Rattus norvegicus: one gene and its partners. The protein of the gene in region 5 binds, or shares a complex with, the protein of the main gene of each other region. Links are inferred from orthologs where the notes say so. Each region holds a gene or a part of one and is shown on either strand. Other genes may lie near its edges. The genes, in order: Snap25, Napa, Cplx1, Stx8 and Vamp2. A codon is read from its position in the direction of its gene.

Region 1 (3,511 bases), on a different chromosome or scaffold from region 5:
CTACTGAGTAGGGTCTTCTATAGTCAATTTGAATTTATAAACTCCTAGCACACTGGAGTCATCCATGTTCAAACAGAGATCTGGAAAGTAGAACATGTTTCTGGATTATTCACAACTGAATTATCTGGCTATGGCTCTTTACCATCTGTTTGATTAATCAAGAGTTGGCTTCAAAATGAGTATTTACATCAAAAAAGGGAACATTGATTTGTCCTGATTATTCAGAACTATAGACATATTTCTGACCCCCCAGCTCCTCATTTGGAAAATGGATAATCCTGCCAATTTTCTTTGCTTCCTAGAGCCTTCTTCTGTACCTACCAACTGTGTCAGAAATAATACTTTTTTGAAAAGGAAAAGACTAGCTCAGGCCAATTTGACATGCTCTTATAGATTGAAATGTGCCATTTCTAGATTGAGCTCAGAGACACTGAAGTGAGAAAGCAATCCATTTTAAAACAAATATTGTTTCCGAAGGCAAATGTAGACTGTCTTGTTTATGAACGCACTGTCTGGCCTTTGCCAGGTAGCTTGGGGGATGTTTAAGTAGAGCAGAAGCCATTCCTGGGATATTCTCAAAGGCAGGGTGCATCTGGAGCACCTCTGCTCAGTGGATGCTTGCTCCTCCCTCTCAAGTTCTCTAAAGCATGTTCAAACTCCAGACCCATAACACATGGCATAAAAGTGCCACATACTTTTTACATGGTATATAAAAGAAATAGCACCTTTTAGAAAGAAACAAAACAAACCTGACAGAATCTCCCTTCAGGTGTGCTCCTTGGAAAATGCCTCTGTCTGTGTTCATCCTGTTCTCCTTGTTCATCTTTGAGAATTTTTTTTTTTGAAAATGGGGGCTACCCCATCTGAGGATTCCGTTTGATTAGAGAAATCCTATGACAGCATTTCTAAGATGCACTTCATAATTTCCCTTTTCGGAAAGGCCAGTACCCATTAGGGAGCCCTGACATTTTTAGAAGGGGGTCCTGAGTACATCGAACTCTTGGGTGCTTCAGGCAGGTGCAGTCCTGGCCCAGATCAGACACCTCAAACTGTGTGTATGTCATATGCCAGCATGTTCAGATTCCAGAGTCAAGCTGTCCCTCCATACAGCTCACAGAATTGGTGAACTGCACATGCCCTTTTAGAGGGCAAGGCCTTACTTTTCAGTATCTAGGTTGCCCAATGATGGAAGTCCGTGGGGACCACCCAGCTGTATCTTAACACACTTTCTTCCACCAAACTCTACTTTATTGCTCCATTAACACTGGTTAATTCTCTTCATTGCTCCATTAACACTGGTTAATTCTCTTCATTGCTCCATTAACACTGGTCTGTACGAAGCTTGGGATGGAAACATACTCCCAATGTCAAGTTTCCTCGAAGAACAATGTGCTTGTAACTTTGAAAGATTGTACATATAAGCACACATAAGCATAAACACAAAGCAATGTCCTAAAAATTCACAAGACTATATAAAAACTCTTTTCATCTCCCCAGAGTTCACCATCAACCCAAATGATGATGGAGAAGCTCATAGAGGGGCCAGGAGAGAAGAAAATTCTCTTTGTTTTGCCTACTGTGTGGTTTTAGCTCAACCCTATACAGACTGAGACTTCTGATATAGTTATCAAAGATTAGAACTTCCTTGAGAAAGAAGGAATAGTGTAGCCCACTAACATCCTTGGAATAACTCTATTGTGATTTTATGTATGGAAGTTCTATTTCAAATATTGGCTAAGCTATACTAATTGTTGAAAGGCAATTATAACCTTCACTCTACCTCTGTGACTCAGCAGCCTAGGGTTGATGCAAAACCAGAGCAGTGGTTTCCCATCAACGTGTCTGGCATTTCCTTAAACCTTTATGGCAACGTACTCCTTCATTGGTAACGAACAGCTAAATACCAAAAGTTCTCACCATTCTAGAGAACAACGTCAGCAGAGGCATCAGAATGTGGCTTCTGCTGCCTTTACAGGAGGAATAAATATTTCTTTTCCCAATCCAGTTACTCAAAGTTTTGACCTCTTTATGTTAGTAAAAATCTCTTCTCTGGAACCCTGCTTGGCTCTGCTGAGTTATCTGCTGGCTTCCGAGTCAATTTGGTTCGGTGATAGAAAACAAGCACTTCCTGTTTTCTCAGATTGTTTCCCTTCTGGAGAACAGCTGAGCAATTATCTCTATGTTCATTTTTCCTTTGGAGCCGTAATGGCTTAAGTCAGACTGAATTGGTTCCAGCACTTTTTGAACCTTTCAATGTGGCTTTAAAACCCATTGGCTCTCACAGCCTTAAAAGCTTCATGACAGCAAAAGCTGCTTAGCCACAACAAGCATGCTCTAACTTGCATGCTCTAAAATGCACCACACAAGCATTTTTCTAGCCAGCTCTGACATATGTGTAGTTCAATACCAATCAGGCAAAATATTCTGTGGTCATATATTGCTTATCTGGAGCACATATGACACAATACTATTAATTCATCCCTTTGCAGTACTGAAGAATGCTTGGGGGATCAAGATGCTATTACTTAGCTTTGTGACTTAAAAGATCTAAACATTAACCAACTCTGTTCTTGGCAAGAGAAGATATAAAGACACTCAAGATCTCAGATTAAGAACTTCAGTGTCTCACGGAGACTAAGAACACAGCAAAAGAGTAGCCAGACATATATTCACAAATAAAATCATTGTTAAATGCTTCCATCTTCTCCCATTTGGAATTTTACAGGTAAAAAAGGTTATAATTAATATTCAACATGCTATGAGGAATGAGAATGTAAGGAAAGAAGTAGTGTCTGATTTGTATGGTGAATTGTTTCATGGTTGTTGTGTCCTGATATGAATTCCTTGGCAGTGAGAATATGATCTGTCTTGTTTTCAGGTGTTCTAAGTGCCTAGCACATGTCTGGTATGGGAGAGATAGAGAAATATAAACACCATTCAATCGTATGGTCTGGGGTAGGAATGTAACTCATTGGCAGAACACTTTTCTTGAATACCCACTACCCTATGCTCAATACTCAGCCCCCATAATACATCGAAACTCAAACGACCTCTAATCTTCATTCCAGTTCTACCACAGAATCTCGTGTTTTTATCTTGAAATATTTTGGGCAAAATACCCAGTAACTAGTTTGCCTGCATGTAGTGTCCCCTTCGTAATGGCAGTCAGTAGTCAGTACCTGAGAGCTATAGACTCACCTTCTCCATGATCCTGTCAATCTGGCGATTCTGGGTGTCAATCTCATTGCCCATGTCTAGGGCCATATGACGGAGGTTTCCGATGATGCCGCTCACCTGCTCTAGGTTTTCATCCATTTCATTTTCCCGGGCATCGTTTGTTACCCTGGGAGCCAAAGAGCAATTTTGGAAGACAGAGTGAGAAGAAAGTTGTTACCGAAGAAGCAGAGCTTGAGGGAAATATACACGCATCTAGGAAGAGTTCTAATGCTTATTCAATATACCAACACGTCTTAATATCTGTCAGCTTCAAGTGTAATTTTAAAATTGATGT
Region 2 (3,511 bases), on a different chromosome or scaffold from region 5:
CTCTTCATGGGGGCTCTGCACCCCCATCTGAAGAGCACTGTCCTCTCCTTGGTGCATCCAAAAGGTCCTGGCCCTACTGGCTGCTTGAATAGCAAGCTGTACCGAACACCAGGATGGTACCTTCATTGTACCATTTCTTCTAAGATTTTAAATTGGGAAAAGGATTTTTTTTTTGAACAAGTTATTTGGAGGAGAGAGGCATGAGTGGGAGGCATCTTCTAGCAGATGGAAATGAACTCTCAGTATCTTTTAACCACCAACTCAGGAGGGGGTTGGGAGAGGCACAGGGCCGGACAAAGGGTCTAGATGGACTACAGACCATGTGGTAGGAAGGCTCCAGGGCTCCTACTGGACTGAGTGTGCTGGGCTCTCTCGGGATGTGGATGCTAAGGTTGCTTCCTGTGGGGATTTCAGCAGCTAAAGCCTGTTGGCATGGGATCTGTTGAGGGGGCTGTCCCTGCCACAGAAGCAAGGGAGAAACATGGATTTACAGGGCCTTGGCTCCTTGCTCTAGGAACAGCTTGGAAAGCAGCAGGCTGCTGGCTGACACCCTGATCTGCTCTCACCACAGGGCTTCTGATGCCACAGGTCAGTTCCTACCCTCCTGGGTGCTCAGCCTGTAGAGAGAGGCTTACAGAACCCAGCTCAACTCTACATTACTCTGAAGTCCCTGGCATATGCAGAGCTAAGCAAGCACCGTTCACAGTAAAACAGGGACAAACTGCAAGCCCCAGCAAGGAGAGGGGATGGATGCAACAGCGTCAGGTGCTTGTACATAGTAGGCATCCAAGAAACCACAGAACAGTAGGCGTGGGGTTAGGTAGAAGACCCGTGAGGACAGACTATTTCCCTGCCTATGCACACACAAGGCAAGCTATAAAAGGGTTAAATTCCCAGGCCGTCAGCTGCTGCTAATGGAAGTCTCAGGTGGGATCCCTAAAGAGCTGACGGATGAGACCACAGGGCAGGTGATCAGACAGGTGAGGGAGATTCCTCCTGAACAAACTGGGTGTTCAAGCCTCCCTGGCCTTCCTCCACCTGTTTCCTAGGACACTGGCCACATGGGAGAAGCTCTAGAGCTCAGGGTGGCTCCCTCCTGGATATCAGAAGCTGCTATGTGCACCTCGCAGTAAGTGGATGCTATCACCGAGGAGAAAATAAAGCCCTGAAGAGTAACAGGGCTAGGATGCAGTTTCATGGTGCAGCACAAGGCCCTGGGTTTCTTGGGGGAGGGGGAAGTGAGGCTCAGGTTACCCAGGCATGTCTTCCCCTGCTTGGCTAATCTTCTCTGTGAGCCCTGACTGGCCCTAGACAAAATGGCTGTTATCTTTGCAAATGCAGTCCATTCCCCTCATTTGTGGAGCTGTGATTGGGGAGGGTACCATGGCAGTGGGGCTGAATGTCACTCAGCTGTCATCCCTCCCTGTCCAGCATGAGTCCCTAGCCCTTACCATCAGAAGCTCTCCTCTCACAATTGTGCTAGGTACCCTCTCCACCATTACGCCCTTAGCTGCAGCATCCTCAGTGCACATCCACATTAGCCTGCACGTGTTGAGGACAGGGCCCATGCCTGAGTCTCTGGAGGAAAAGGACCCAACCACAAACTGGGAGGTACAGTTCTGTTCAAAGAGCTCATGATGCTAGGGCATCCTTTAGGCTGGCAGCCACTAGCACCCAGGAACTGGTCCTCCCAGCCCCTCCGGATGGAGCAGCAGCTGAGGGGCACAGATGCTAGGCAGTGTCTCCAGGCCAACCAGTCCCCCAGGGAGCAAAAGGGGAAAGCATGAGGAGGGCTGTGTGGAGGAAAGGACTGCCCTGAGCCGCTGGCTGTATCCAAGTCCTACCCAGCTGAGAGGCTGTCTCTCTCTGCTTGTCAGCCCAGGGACGGAGCCAACACAGTCATCTCTCTAACTGGGAGTGGCTCTGTCAACAATGGCAGTTATTCACTGATGCTGCAGAGAGCATGGGGTGCGTGTCTTCTCCCTAGAGGTGAACCTTTATCCAAACACTGAGCACCTCCTTTTGAAAAGAATAGTCACTTCTTTTCCATTCTTCTAAAGAAAAAAATCCTAGATATTTTAAAAATTATTAATGAGACTTAGTCTCATACAGCCCTAGGTGTGCCTCAAACTCGCTTTGTAGCCAAGGGTTGAGGATGGTTTGTTTTGAGTACCTGAATTTTCTGCCTCTGCCTGCCAAATGCTTAGATGATAGGCATGAGCCACCATGACTGCGTCAGACACCTCTGCTTGCTAAAAGTTAAAGTTAGCAATCTATGTGGCTCTAAGATTTAAAAAAGAAATCATTCTGGGGACCGAGATGTGTATAACACATTCTCAGCACATCAGAGGTCCAGGCTGAATCCCTAGCATCACAAATAAGCGAATAAAAATAATGAAAGCAGGGGTTGGGGATTTGGCTCAGTGGTAGAGCCCTTGTCTAGGAAGCGCAAGGCCTTGGGTTCGGTCCCCAGCTCCGGAAAAAAAAAAAAAAAAAAAAAAAAAGAACCAAGAAAAATAACGAAAGCAAACTCCCCAGCCCAGGAAATCCGAGTCTGAGGTCCCTGGGCTGTGCTGCGTCCAAACCTGTCCCCAGAGGCTCTGCTTTAAGGAACTGGCCTCTGGCAACTTCCCCTGCTTCTTCTTGGAGTGCAGGGAAGCCAGGTCAAGCAGAGCTCCACTTTACTTGGCTTGGCTTGGACTGCCCTGCCCCCTTCTGCATGCTAATTCTGACAACTGAACAGCTTTGCCTGGTTTCCTGGCAAACAGTGGGTCTGAAATGGAACTCCCACTCCCAAATGCTCAAAGCCTGGGTGGGAGAGGTGCCACCTGCGGGGCAGGATGCCAGTGACAGCAAAGACCAGCCAATTCTGCAGTCAGGGCTTGTTTTGCTCCTGGCCTATCGTGTGTCAGCCACTGGAAAAGCCCAGATCTGTGCAGACACCTGAGGATGGGGACAGTGCTCACCTGTTCTGCCGTCTGTGGCTCCCACAGGCCCTTACCTTGGGGGTCAGCTTTCTTGAAAGCGTTGCCGGCGTCCACAAAGCAGGTGGCTGCATCGTGCTTGCTCTGGAGCTGTAGGTGCAGTTGGGCAGCCTGGCAGAAAGCGTTCCCAGCAGCTAGAATAGAACAGATTGGCCCAGCTTCAGTCACGGCCCCAGGAGGCACTTCGGGCTCTCAAGAACACAGCTAGAGTGCCAGGCAGAGGTCCAGATCAGCCTACTCCAGCCCAATGGCAGCCTTCGCAGAGCTTTCTGGTGAATCGAGGAGGTCAGAAAGCTGCCTTGGGAAGCCTAGGTCCCACTATAAACAAATGGCCAGGGTGAACACAGTACCCGCCCATCCCCTCCACCCAGCAACTCAAGAGCCTCCACTTCCACAGAGAGGAAGAAAAGGCAGGCAGAGCCGAGGACTAAAAGTACAAAACATCCAGGCTCTTGGGTTCAGAGACTCTCCTCTTGCACAGAAAAGTCTGGAACCTAAACAGAGAGCAAGGAGAAGATGGGGAGGGT
Region 3 (4,155 bases), on a different chromosome or scaffold from region 5:
TTTGGGCTGACATGGAACAATGAGGGAATCCAGGCTGGCAATTACCCAGCTAATTTCAGCTACGTAGACAGCCAAATCAGAGATTTCAGTTTCTTTAAAAGCCCACCTCAGGGCCTGAATTAGCCACCAAATTAATTGTCTGTAGCAGCCTGGGACTTTCTGGGTATAACACGGGTCTCTTCTGATACAGGATGCTGGCTTGCCTCTGAATCCTGTCCCGGTGATGTAATCATTATAATTAGATTCAACCTGAGTCTACCACAGCCGTGAACTCAGCAAGCACACTGGGTCTCCTTTTCATCACATACGAGTGAAGTCACAGACACCCTCTGGGAGATGCCTATTTGGGCAGATTCTCCTCTTTTGGGCCCCAAGACCCCAACCAGCTTTCTCTCTGTGAGTGGTCCCCTTCCCTTTTCCATACAGCAAAGGATGCCTAACACATTCCAGCTGAGACCCACACCAGTCAAGGGGCCTCCCTGCAGTAAAATTGGTGTGAGCTCTCAGCACTGAGGCTACACAAGGGTGTTGGGGTACCTAGAGCAGGTAGCTTGAACAAGCATGAAGTCCACCTAGGGCAATCTCAAATCCTACAGGCTTGAGCTGACTAAACTGCTCTGTTGAAACCCATTCTGGCCAAACGGGTACCAAACCTTTTAGCTCACTGTTTCAGCACCTCCTGGCCAAGAACTCATTCCACTGTCCTCTACCAGTTTCTAGACCTACTGTTGCTAGCTACAAAGATGGCTTTGGGCCAAGTGGGGACAGGACTCTCTTCAAACAGTGAGTGAGTAAGGAGGCTGCCCTCACTCAACGACATAAAGGGGCTATGTTTTCTCTGTAGAAGTGGACTTGATTACATAGTTATCCTTTCTTGTCCTTGTAAATAGTACTGTCTCTTACCCGGGTGAAACCCATAGAGCTCAATGCCACAGTTGGGATCACCCAGATCCTGTTTCCTAACGCAATCCTGGTGCATGGTTTGTTCCCAGGACTGACACAACGAGAGCTGCTCACAAGCCTCGCCGGGGTATCTGCATTGATCAATGCTGCTCAGTTCTTGACTCGTCTTGGGATGACCAGTGCGTTCTACTGCGCCATGGCACGGGGGCATAGGGCCATCTTACACAGCACATTCTCCCCATATCTCATATTAAATCTGCAACTACCTGCAGAGGCAGTGAGTGAGGTCAGAAGTGGTCATGCAGCCATGTGTCTCCATGTCACTGCAGTGGTAGAGACATGTCTCTCTTGAGTATCAGATGTCTGTGTATCCCTGGTGGCCCAAACCCATGTCCTCCTCCCTGCCCACCTCCTACCTCCCAGGGCTTGTTTCATCACGAACTCCATGATGATGGCTTGGTTCCTCAGGAGACACTCCGGGGTCAGATTTCACATTCAAGTGTGGTTGGAGTCCTCTGCCTAGAGAGAGTAGGTGGTCATAGGTACCCTGACGGACTCTTCCCAAGACCCTCATCTACACCTCTCCACTATCCTGAGAGTCCAGTGCGAGAGGCTTTGTTCCCACACCCAGACCAGGACGGCAGGGTTCAGAGCCCAGCCAAACCAACAGTCATCTTGCTGCTTCTGGGGTTTCTGAAGGAAGCTTTTAACTGCCACTGCAGCTCACAACTTGGGGCCACCAGTTACTGGAGACTGGTGCCAGCCTCCTCAAGTGGGGGTGGGGCCCAGGGGGCATTTGAAGGTCAATGCTCTGCTTGTAGCACCCAGATTCTGGCTGCTCAACCTCCTTGGCAGTTTTGGAGCTGTGGGGCAAGGGTCCCTCTGGGGAAGAATTGGAGAGACAAGTCCATGAATGTTGCCCCTCAGGAAAGGTCCTTATGACTTCTGACTAGTCTCAACTATATTTGTCTGTAGGGAGACTCTGGAGGCCCGCAGCAGTACTGGCCCGGGAGGGAGATGACAGTGTCCGGGTCTTCCACTAGGAGGGGAAACAGCTGATCCACATTGTCTCTGCATGAGGTAGGGCGACCCAAGCCAGAATGCCCAGCAGCGTTTAGAAAGGTGTTTTTTGTAATGCCAACAGCTGCAAAGACATCCCTTTTTGTAGGGTCTTTCCTGACAGGGAACCTGGTCCCTAGGGATCCAGTATTTCACAGGTTTCCCTCTGCGGAATGAGACCCGAAGGGGTGCCAGGCAGTGAGAGTGTCCCAGAAGCTAGGGGTTCAGGGATGCCTTTGCAGCAAAGCCAGTTGCCTTCTAAACTTCTCTCTGTCTCGGGGTAATCGGGGGATGGGGGCTCCGCAGGGCCAGGCTTGGAGAAGCTCGGTCGCTGCGGAGGAGATTCCGCAAAGACCAAGGCATCCTGTTCTTTCGTGGCCGCCGCACCCTTTGCTTTGCTGGGCGAGGTGCCCGACCGGAGCACGGCCTCAGGCAGAAGCGCGCCAGGGAGAGAAGAAAGAAAGAAAGGAAAAAAAAAAAAAAAAAAAAATGCCGATGGGAAAGGGAATCAAGGGCCGCTTCAGCACCTTGAGACGGACAGCGCCTTCCGGGCTGATCAACCTTGGGTCTGAAAGGCAAGGAACCAAGAGTAGGGGAACCAAGGGTAGGAGACCCATGGCTAGAAAGCGGGGATCCGGGAAGGGAAGCCCCGGAGTCGGGAGGAAGACTGAGCTGGGAAGGGGAAAGGTGGGAGCCGGTTGAGGTCGGACTGGCTGCTAGGGCGCTAGTTACCTTCCAAGGTGAACGATCAACAGCAGCGCGCTCTCAGGCCGGCGGGGTCCATGTGGCGCTCTGTGCTGCTGCGGCGGCTGAAGGACACCGCGAGGAGGGCGCGTCACTCAGAAGCGCCCCCGCCCGCGTCCCGCATGACGAGGAGGGCGGGGCGCGGCGGAGATGGGGGGGTAGCCGCGCCCCCGGTTCCCAGATTCTGGCCTGGCTCGCGCGACAGCTGCATAGGGGCCCCTCCTTGGCCTGGGCCACTCTCTTCATACCGGCTTGGAGACCCTCCTGAATTCCTCCTGAAGCGCCCTCCAGAAACGCAGGGAGAACGCAGGGCTGGGGTCGCCATCCCTCATCTACCCACCACGTTTGCTCTTGACCCGGTTGCTTTGCTCCTTTGCTGGCAGGGCGGGAAGAGGCGAGCACCGCCCGAGACCCCCGATCCTGCAAGATAAGCCCACACATCCAACCTTCTCCGGTGTGCAGAACCGCCAAATGTGGCTTTGGTGGGATAGGAACCCCAGCCAGTCAGGGACGCCTGAAGGTCACTGCGGACATGGCTGGGCAGGGGCTCCTCGGAGACAGCCACAGCCCCGCCTCTAGGCCGCCCCTTCCCCGGCAACGGGATTTCAACTCTGCTGCGGCTGCACTGCAGAAGAACCCGGTGGCCACAAGGTTGGCCTGGCATCCCTGTACTTGTCCTGGGGGGCGGGCGGGGGCTTCTGTGAGGCAATCAGCTTCGCAGAAGTCAGAGCATATGGGGACACCTAAGCTGTTTTTTGATTCTGGGTAGCCAGAGGTATTTCCTGACCCGCAGGGTCTTGTGCTGATGGTCATTGCATTAACTGTTACTGTTCCTCCTGGCTGAGTCATTCCTCCGGATTAGGTAGATCTTGACCTTCACCCAATTCAGTGAAACTTCTTGCCTAATGAGTATTCCTCCTTCACTAACATCCCAAAGCTGCCCCAGGGTGCTTGGTGGCTTGAATTCGAGGGGCTGAGGGAGGGTATGGAGTCCATCGTAGACTTGCTTTTATCAGTTTTTGTTCCTTTGACCTGGCAGATTCAAAGTAGAAGAGACCAGGAAGGGAGCTGGAGTGGAGACAGGAAGAGAAGTCCCCCATCTTCTAGCCCTGACTTCAGCCTGGAGCCTTGTAGTTAGGGATACAGTCTGATCCCACTGGTGAAGTGCCTGCACTGTACCCAGGTTTATGCCTAGGAGAGGGGATCATTCAGAAAGTTGGACATGACTCACACCATACACAGAAGAGTCTCCCAGTGCCATTCCTATTGACACCATCCATCTCAGTTCACCCATCACACTTCTGGTAAGGTTGGTTGATGCCCCAAGCCTTGTTCAGGCCCAGGACTGATGCCCCGTGGAATGGGGTCACCTGTACACAGATGTGCCCAGTCTGACTCATTCTGTGTTTTAGGAGTCTATGGTAGCTAGCAAAAAAGCAAGGGCCACAG
Region 4 (3,511 bases), about 1.1 Mb from region 5:
GGAAAACCATGCAACTAAGTCATGCCAACCATCCTGCTAACATAAAAGGGCTCCTTTAGGAGAAGATGTACTTTTGAAACACCTTCAATCGTTTTGTCAAAAGAGCGGTATTCCTACATTTCCCCACATTTAAAGCCAGGACATATGGTTTCTTCTGCTACCAAAAGTCAGATCTTTGGCCTGAATTAGAGCCAATTTTAAGAGATACAACCATGGGATCAGTTTTCACTTCAATATAAACTGGGTTTCAAGAATTAGTTTAGTCCCCAGCTCCGAAAAAAAGACCAAAAAAAAAAAAAAAAAAAGAATTAGTTTAGGTAGCAGGTTACATTGTGAATTTCTTTTTAAAATGTTTGTTTTGAGGCAGGATGGGGTGGGGTAGGGTGCCTCATCATAAAGCCTAGCCTAGCCGCAAACTTACTATGTAGCCCAGGCTAGCTTTTAATGCTCTATCTTGCCTCACTCTTCAGTGCTGGGATTACAGATGTGTACAACCACCCAGCTCAAAACAGAGCTTAAGTATTTGATAACTCACGGGAGGTTCAGATGACCCAGCTTGCCTTAATCAAGTCCCAACACACTCGTTACCCGCAAAGCTCCCAGGCTAGGGACATTTACCTGTGTCCCTGAAAGAATGAAATGGGCAAGTCACACCCCACCAGTCTACAGCTGAAGCTTTACAAAGCAAAACGGATGCTATAGGCCAGGAAGCAGGGAAGTAGAAGACATCCCACGGCTCAGAGATTGCTCGATTGTGGGAGCATGTGGCTAGCACGCACAGAGCCCTGATTCCACCCCCAGCAGCTCCGCAAAACTGGGTATACCAGAGTATGTCTTTATCTGAGCTCATAGATGTGAGGGCAGAGGTTTGGCTATTAATGCTTGGTCTACTGAGAAAAGGGGGGAAAATGCTCTGCAAAGTCGAGCAGGGAACCACTGCTCAGAACTGTCAAGGAAGTCCTGTGGTTGGAGAAGCATCTAGCCATCCTCAAGGCAGCGACAGAGAGCAGTATGTGACTCTACGAAGCCCTGACAGAAAGTGGTAGCTTTCCTGCCTGTGAGTCTACGCCGAAACGGATTTATTCCTTAGTTAGGTCACTGTCACACAGTGAGCGCTTAAGACAGAATGTACGATTACAGCAACAGTGTGGAAACCACGTCCTCCTTGAGCTGTGGAAAAATCTGGATGGCCCAGATTCCTTCCTGTCTTAAGATTGCTTTTCCTCCCACTCCAGAAAAGGGTGGGTTTGTTTACATGGATACATCTGGCGCGTCGACACAGCTCTTAGAAGTAAGTCCTTCAAGAGGTCGATCTTTACCTTCAGATTCTTCAACAAAGTTCTGATTGTCAGGGTAAGCTGCAAAGAGAAGGACACAGCCTGAGTCCACCGGACCTGAGGTGTAGCATCTGCCAAGTTAAACAGACCTGGGAGGGAGGCTTAGCCTCGTGAGGACACTCTCAGGGTTGTAAAGGTCTCAATGGCATCATGGTCTAGCCACCCACCTGGAGCTTGTCCCCATAGTGCACCTGCCCATGGCAACCTGGTCCACACGGGAACACAGACATTGAGTGGAAACTGTCAGCTTGCATTCACACTCGGCTGGAATTCTCCTACCCGCTGTATTTTACCCACCCTGGGACCATGCAGGAAACTGTGTTCCCCCAGTCCTTGCCCAACAGCAAAGCTCCCTGGTTCCCTCAACCATGCTTCAGATGACAAGGTGTCAAGTCCCATTACCATCCTGACTGGTCTGTGAACACTCTGGTGTATTTATAGCCCATGTGAACACTGGAGAATACGTGTTCTTTTTCCATGAAAGGAATGCTAACCACGCACGGCTCTTCTTCTACAACTGTGAGGATTTTCTCCAATCATCCTAAAAACCCAGAGGACATGTCTGTTTGTGACTCTAAAGATGAAGAAGGGGTGGGGAGAGTCCTACTCTGACATTTGGAAATGTGAAGAAGAAAAGGCCCATTTAAATGAAAACAGATTGGACTTGGATGAAATCAGAGGAATATTAAAAAGGCAGAATGCCACTGTTGTCACCGCTGCTTGCTAAAAGTAGCAGTTACGTGAGGCATGTTGGGGTACGCCTATAATCCCAGCTCTGGAGAGATGAGAGGATCTATCTCTAGGAGTACAAGGTCAGCATGGTCCAGGCTACACAGTGAGACCCTTGCTCAACAAAACAACAACAAGGTAGCAGCTATATAGCTCAGGGAGAAGCAGGACACACACACACACACACACACACACACACACACACACACACACACACACACGGACACACACGGACACACATACACATGGACACACACACATTCTCATTCATTCTCTCTCTCTCTTCTCTCTTCTCTCTCTTCTCTCTCTCTCTCTCTCTCTCTCTCTCTCTCTCTCTCTCTCTCTTTCTCTCTCTCTCTCTGATGAGCAAGGTAACAAGCATCAAGCAACTGTCCAAGATGTCAGCAGGCTGGAAAAGCCTAGCTTTGTTCTAATATCCCTGGAAGCCAAAGGAGCGCCCATCATGCTGATGTGGAGCTGAGGGGAAGGAGCCCGCCATGTATTTAGAGAGAAGAATAGAGTAAGAAGCAAAAACTCCAACCAGCTGGGAGCAGTACTTCACACTGCTCCCCACTTGTGAGGCTTCAGCAGGAGGACCACTTGAATCCTGAACTCAGGGCCAGCCTGGGCAACAAAGACAGACACACACATACCCCAAACTCTATCAAAAGGGCACACCACACACACACACACGCACACACACACATGCACGCACACGCACACACACACGCACATACACGCACACACACACACAAACCCAAGGGACACACGCACGCACACACACACAGACTCAAGGGTACAGTGCCAGCAGCTGCCAACAGTGTGAACCCTAGGGAATGTAATGCCAGCAGCTATCAAAAGTATGAACAACTGTATAAAACTGTATAAAACTGTATAAAACTGTAGCTGTATAAAAAGTCAGTGAATGAAATACAGAGGAATTTATATCTTGGAGGAATGGTCATAATTTACCGATGGCGAAAAAGTAAAATTCGATACAACATACCAAAAGATCTAAAAGATTTACACACATGCACATGCACACCCCCACCCCCCACGGCACACCTCAGATCTAGCAATGCTTTCAGACGTCAGAGCTCAGCAGCACGCGGATTCCTCCCTGCATTACCTTAGGTGTCTTCTCACCTCTTCTTTCACACTGATTTCGTTCTTGAATCTTCTCAGCGATTTCTTGGGCAATCTGACAAGTAGAATCGTACGTGGAGAACCTGCACCAAAGTCAAAGTCGCGTTAAAGTTCTTTAAAAGAAAGTGCTGGCTAGGTGTGGTGTCACGTGCCTTCAATCCTAGCCTTGCAAAGGCAGAGGCAGGAGGATTTCTGTGAGCTCGAGGCCAGCCTAGTCTAAGGGAACACACTGACAAGGAGATGCTGTTTCAGGGCAGGAGACACAGAGGCAAGATGAGAAGTGACGTGCAAAAAGCACG
Region 5 (4,101 bases):
ATGGAAACTAACTCTTCCGAAAAGAAAGAAAGAAAAAAAAAAAACACAGAAGAGTGAAGAGTAATGGAACAGAAAGGAAGAAACCCAGGGAAAAAAAAAAGACAGTGTATGCAAATGATATGCTAATCAACATGTTGGAAGCTCCCAGAAAACCTTGGGATTCTTAGGACCAAGTAGGACCAGTCTTAGAGGCTCCCAAGGGATACAAAGATGCAACCTATGGAAGCCTAGACAGGTGGGGTGTTTTGTTTGTTTCTGTGGGGTTTGCTCTGTTTGGGGAGGGTCTGGAATTGTACAGGGAAGATAGGGGAAGGATTGGTTAAATCCAAGGGAAGGAGGAGAGGGGCTATTGCATAGCAGATGCAAATGAAGGGACTTGGGGCTGAACAGGAAAGAGGAAAGGGGGCAGAGGGTGAGAGAGAGAGGTGATGGGAACCTCAGGAAGGGGTGTTAAGGACAACCGGAAAAAATCTTCTAGTAATAAAACTACAAACAGACCAAATATATATAATATTATATATGTATAAATAACAGCTGGCTATTTACAGGGGGCACACACACGGACACACACACACACGGATCCAAGGGAGGGGGCTGAAAGATATGGCTGAGAGGTGGAGGACGGGCTGAGGGTGGGGGAGAGGCCCTTCTTAGGCAGGGCAGACTCCTCAGGGACTTAAGTGCTGAAGTAAACTGTGGAGAGAGAGGGCATGAGGAGGGGTAGGGGGTGGGGGAAGGGAAGGAAGAGAAAGACAGCAGTGTATCAGGCCTGGCCCTGTTCCAAACCTCCCCAGTCCCCCACTGACATCCCTTCTCTCTCTGCCTCAGTTTCTTCAAAGGGACTGCACAAGTGGGTATTGAGATCCCTTAAACGCCACGATTGCACAAAGGGGTATCAAACCTTTAAGGCACTGGCATGTGACGATAGCTTTCAAATAGTGGAGTAAGTGTATCCTGTGATTGGAGTTCAAGACCCTCAGCCTGACCTGTCTTCTACTCTCCAGTTTTAGAAACCCCAGACTGAGCTTTTAGGCTCAAAGGGTTCCTAGAAAGGCACCAGGGACCACCCAGTATTCCTATCCCCAAAATCTTACCCAGAACTACCCATAACAAGGGAAAATAAGGCTATAACACTCAAGTTGGGGCTCTACGTGAGTCAGAACTGCCAATAGCAGCAAAATGTGTTTTGGTAGAAGAGTAAAAACTAGGTCAATGACCTTCAAAGCCCCGACTCCACAGGGAAACCCTCTACTTCTCCAGGGAAAGGGCCCTGGCCACTCCTGCTCCACTCACCGATGATGATGATGAGGATGATGGCGCAAATCACTCCCAAGATGATCATCATCTAGGAATGAGAGGGAGGTGAATGAGGCGAGGTGACACCCCACTCACCCACTGGCCCTCCACCTGACCCCATCTCCTTCCCCTTTACCTTGAGGTTTTTCCACCAGTATTTGCGCTTGAGCTTGGCTGCACTTGTTTCAAACTGGGAGGCCCCTGCCTGGAGGGCATCTGCGCGATCATCCAGTTCCGATAGCTTCTGGTCCCGCTCCAGGACCTTGTCCACATTCACCCTCATGATGTCCACCACCTGGGGGAGGGGTCCACGAGGCAGGGGGGTGTGCCAAGGTACGCCTTAAGGAGGGCACTTCTTGAACATGTGCCCATTGTGGCACACATGGAACATGCACCCCGATGTTTTCAGGCTAACATGCCAAGGACATACACAGAACATGCTTAGCACACCTGGGGACATGCAAGGAGCACACATCAGGGGCATGCTGCTGCCACAGAGCTCAGATGCTCAGCAACACCCTCTATCTTTAGGGCTTGGATCAGCCTATCACCAGAGCACACCTGCCCCAGCTGGCACACCCCGGGCTAGCACAACTGATTCATCCTGCAGCCCTTCCAAGTGCAAGCTGACAGGGAATCAGAGAGGGGATACGGCAGGTCTCGGACCCAAACCCACAGGCATAAACTGTCATTACCTTCAACCCAAGATGGGCTCCCACACCTATTTGCCAGTCCCATCATCTTTCACACACACACACACACACACACACACACACACACACACACACACACACACACTCACCTCATCCACCTGGGCCTGGGTCTGCTGCAGTCTCCTGTTACTGGTAAGATTTGGAGGAGGTGCAGGGGGGCCACCCTCGCCGGCCGGGGCGGCAGGCGGGACGGTGGCAGCGGTAGCCGACCTAAGGAAGAGAAACGGATTAAGACTCCAGGCCTGGAGCCTCTGGCCCTACAGTCCGGGCTCCACCCATCCACCTGTCCATCCACAGTCCCTCCAGTCCTCTCTTGCGCGAGAAGGCACCCGATGGGAGATACAGTCACTTTAAGGCCCCAAAGCGGTTGAGCCGCGTGACCTTGAGAGACCCTCCTCGTGCCTCAATTTCCCCTCCTGTTAAATGAGGGCGACCTCCTTGATGCTGCCCGGGGTCGACCCGAAATGACTGACGGCCATGGTGACAGGGGCGGGGCGGAGGGTGGACGCTGGGTCCGCTCCCTCCTGCGGGCCATCGCCCGTGCCAGACCGCACGAGACCGGGTTCCGGGCACCAGCGCGCAGTCATGGGCACCAGCCTGGCCAGCGGCACGAGAGGCGCGGGCGGGACCCCCGTGTTTCCCAGCCCACTCCTTGGGGTGGCGGCCCGCAAGGGGCAGAACATCGCGGGTGGCGAGTGACAGGCGGCTGACTTACATGGCGGGGGTAGCGGGCAGAGGACTTGGCAGAGGCAGTGACAGCGGCGGCGGCTCGCGCTGGCTCCGACTGGCGCTGGCTACCCGGGACTGGAAGATGGCGGCCGCACGTCACCCGCATCCGGGCACTGCGGCGTGGGCGGGGCGCGGCAGGCGACACGTCTCTAGCGGACCGCGGGGGCGGGGCGCTGCAGGGCCGGGGGTCGTCTGGTTGGGTCTGTTGGCCTTAGGCTGTGGGCCCAGCTCGCCAACCCACCGCCGCCCCTAAGACACCTGACACCTGCCTCTTTTGGAAGGAACCCACAACCGAGATTCATACATCTCTTCCCCACAAATTACATCCTTCCTCATACTTGAAGAGGATACACAGGTTCTTACACCTTATAATTCGACGTCTCATCCTACAACCTGGTTCCAACACATGGTGTATGGGTTGAGGGTGAAAAACAAGAAGCGACCAAGATAGGTACCAGAGCAATACTAACTGGAATCCTGACACTGTAGTGGAGGGGGATTGTGAGAACTAATCTCGCCCATCACCCTGCAATTGAATGTCTCAAGAGAGATCTGAGGCTTCTTATTTCCTAGCAGGGTATGGGCAAAAGGAGTAACAGAGGCACACACACACACACACACACACACACACACACACACACAAAACCGGGGCAGGAGGGGGGCTGTGAAAACTGCCCCTCCTTACAAAGAACTTATGACCAGGTGTGTGTTTGGCAGTCAAAGCTTGAGCAGGCCCCACAAAAATTAGACAAGCTAAAGACTCTAGGGAGGGCCAAGACTGTCTGGTGGTGCCATAGGCTGGATCCCCACTGAAGTCAGCTGCCCCACCTCAGCTTTGATTCTAGCATACAACCCGGACTGAAAAGAGACAGTAGACAGGGTGGTCGTACCTGAAGTACTTAGGTTATAGGCACAACTTTACATGTGGATTAGTCCCAAACACATGACCTTGACAGAACCAACTGCCTCTCCCTGGACCCTAAAATTTAAGTGCATCACATATGGAGACAATATTTGTCAAATGGCTTAATCTAGATAACACTATAGGATATTATCTTAGACCTGGTCCATTCCTGACTGCTCCATTTTAAGTACACGAAACAGCCACAGCAGCTGTACACACTCCCATCCTGCATCTAGGGAGAGAGAGAACCAGGGAGCAGCTGCCTATTTAGCAAGTCTCCGGGGTGAAGGAGGCATTTTAGGGGAGGACTAGTAGCTCTGAGGTGGGAGTGCTCAACACATCCCTGAGAGAGCCTTATTCTCAGAGACAAGCAGGGTCTGGCTTTCCTCCTCTTCACTGTGGGCTTCCCAGAGCCTCCTGTGCTGCAGTGCCCAACCCCCTCCCAGCAGAAGCCCCAGG

Evidence for each region.
Region 1: the proteins of Vamp2 (region 5) and Snap25 are in contact, whole or in part, in a crystal structure (PDB 1SFC), measured with the Rattus norvegicus proteins. Residues at the interface, in NP_036795.1 of Rattus norvegicus: Asn25 (codon at 2,149), Thr27 (codon at 2,143), Ser28 (codon at 2,140), Asn29 (codon at 2,137), Arg30 (codon at 2,134), Arg31 (codon at 2,131), Leu32 (codon at 2,128), Thr35 (codon at 2,119), Gln38 (codon at 2,110), Val39 (codon at 2,107), Glu41 (codon at 2,101), Val42 (codon at 1,591), Ile45 (codon at 1,582), Met46 (codon at 1,579), Asn49 (codon at 1,570), Lys52 (codon at 1,561), Val53 (codon at 1,558), Glu55 (codon at 1,552), Arg56 (codon at 1,549), Lys59 (codon at 1,540), Leu60 (codon at 1,537), Glu62 (codon at 1,531), Leu63 (codon at 1,528), Arg66 (codon at 1,519), Ala69 (codon at 1,510), Leu70 (codon at 1,507), Gly73 (codon at 1,498), Ala74 (codon at 1,495), Gln76 (codon at 1,489), Phe77 (codon at 1,486); in NP_112253.1 of Rattus norvegicus: Gly131, Gly132, Phe133, Ile134, Arg135, Arg136, Asn139 (codon at 3,336), Leu150 (codon at 3,303), Glu151 (codon at 3,300), Ser154 (codon at 3,291), Ile157 (codon at 3,282), Gly158 (codon at 3,279), Leu160 (codon at 3,273), Arg161 (codon at 3,270), Ala164 (codon at 3,261), Leu165 (codon at 3,258), Met167 (codon at 3,252), Gly168 (codon at 3,249), Ile171 (codon at 3,240), Asp172 (codon at 3,237), Gln174 (codon at 3,231), Asn175 (codon at 3,228), Ile178 (codon at 3,219), Asp179 (codon at 3,216), Ile181 (codon at 3,210), Met182 (codon at 3,207), Ala185, Asp186, Asn188, Lys189.
Region 2: the proteins of Vamp2 (region 5) and Napa are in contact, whole or in part, in a cryo-EM structure (PDB 3J97), measured with the Rattus norvegicus proteins. Residues at the interface, in NP_036795.1 of Rattus norvegicus: Gln36 (codon at 2,116), Ala37 (codon at 2,113), Asp40 (codon at 2,104), Glu41 (codon at 2,101), Val43 (codon at 1,588), Arg47 (codon at 1,576), Val50 (codon at 1,567), Asp51 (codon at 1,564), Leu54 (codon at 1,555), Glu55 (codon at 1,552), Gln58 (codon at 1,543), Lys59 (codon at 1,540), Arg66 (codon at 1,519); in NP_542152.1 of Rattus norvegicus: Arg116, Thr118, Lys122, Ser157, Ser159, Ser160, Lys163, Leu197, Tyr200, Ser201, Lys203, Arg239, Ser268, Ile269, Arg271.
Region 3: the proteins of Vamp2 (region 5) and Cplx1 are in contact, whole or in part, in a crystal structure (PDB 1KIL), measured with the Rattus norvegicus proteins. Residues at the interface, in NP_036795.1 of Rattus norvegicus: Arg47 (codon at 1,576), Val50 (codon at 1,567), Asp51 (codon at 1,564), Leu54 (codon at 1,555), Asp57 (codon at 1,546), Gln58 (codon at 1,543), Ser61 (codon at 1,534), Asp64 (codon at 1,525), Asp65 (codon at 1,522), Asp68 (codon at 1,513), Ala69 (codon at 1,510), Gln76 (codon at 1,489); in NP_074055.1 of Rattus norvegicus: Leu41, Arg48, Tyr52, Glu56, Arg59, Glu60, Met62, Arg63, Ile66, Arg67, Tyr70, Gly71, Ile72.
Region 4: Vamp2 (region 5) and Stx8 share a complex: the UniProt entries of both Homo sapiens proteins name them as parts of the SNARE core complex. The link is inferred for Rattus norvegicus from reciprocal best matches to the Homo sapiens genes VAMP2 and STX8.

What each region holds. Positions count from the first base shown.
Region 1 is NC_086021.1:144,571,095-144,574,605, reverse strand, and holds part of Snap25 (synaptosomal-associated protein 25), read right to left. Parts: intron 3,344-3,511; coding exon 3,199-3,343; intron 1-3,198.
Region 2 is NC_086019.1:85,925,425-85,928,935, reverse strand, and holds part of Napa (alpha-soluble NSF attachment protein), read right to left. Parts: intron 3,119-3,511; coding exon 3,002-3,118; intron 1-3,001. UniProt on the Homo sapiens protein: Required for vesicular transport between the endoplasmic reticulum and the Golgi apparatus. Together with GNA12 promotes CDH5 localization to plasma membrane.
Region 3 is NC_086032.1:1,327,729-1,331,883, reverse strand, and holds the start of Cplx1 (complexin-1), read right to left. Parts: upstream 2,812-4,155; 5' UTR 2,695-2,811; intron 1,423-2,694; 5' UTR 1,351-1,422; coding exon 1,320-1,350; intron 1-1,319. UniProt on the Homo sapiens protein: Positively regulates a late step in exocytosis of various cytoplasmic vesicles, such as synaptic vesicles and other secretory vesicles.
Region 4 is NC_086028.1:53,157,665-53,161,175, reverse strand, and holds part of Stx8 (syntaxin-8), read right to left. Parts: intron 3,296-3,511; coding exon 3,196-3,295; intron 1,359-3,195; coding exon 1,264-1,358; intron 1-1,263. UniProt on the Homo sapiens protein: Vesicle trafficking protein that functions in the early secretory pathway, possibly by mediating retrograde transport from cis-Golgi membranes to the ER.
Region 5 is NC_086028.1:54,291,496-54,295,596, reverse strand, and holds the start of Vamp2 (vesicle-associated membrane protein 2), read right to left. Parts: upstream 2,809-4,101; 5' UTR 2,727-2,808; coding exon 2,725-2,726; intron 2,220-2,724; coding exon 2,099-2,219; intron 1,592-2,098; coding exon 1,433-1,591; intron 1,346-1,432; coding exon 1,294-1,345; coding exon of another isoform or gene 1,220-1,293; exon of another isoform or gene 694-1,219; coding exon 677-693; 3' UTR 1-676. UniProt on the Homo sapiens protein: Involved in the targeting and/or fusion of transport vesicles to their target membrane. Major SNARE protein of synaptic vesicles which mediates fusion of synaptic vesicles to release neurotransmitters.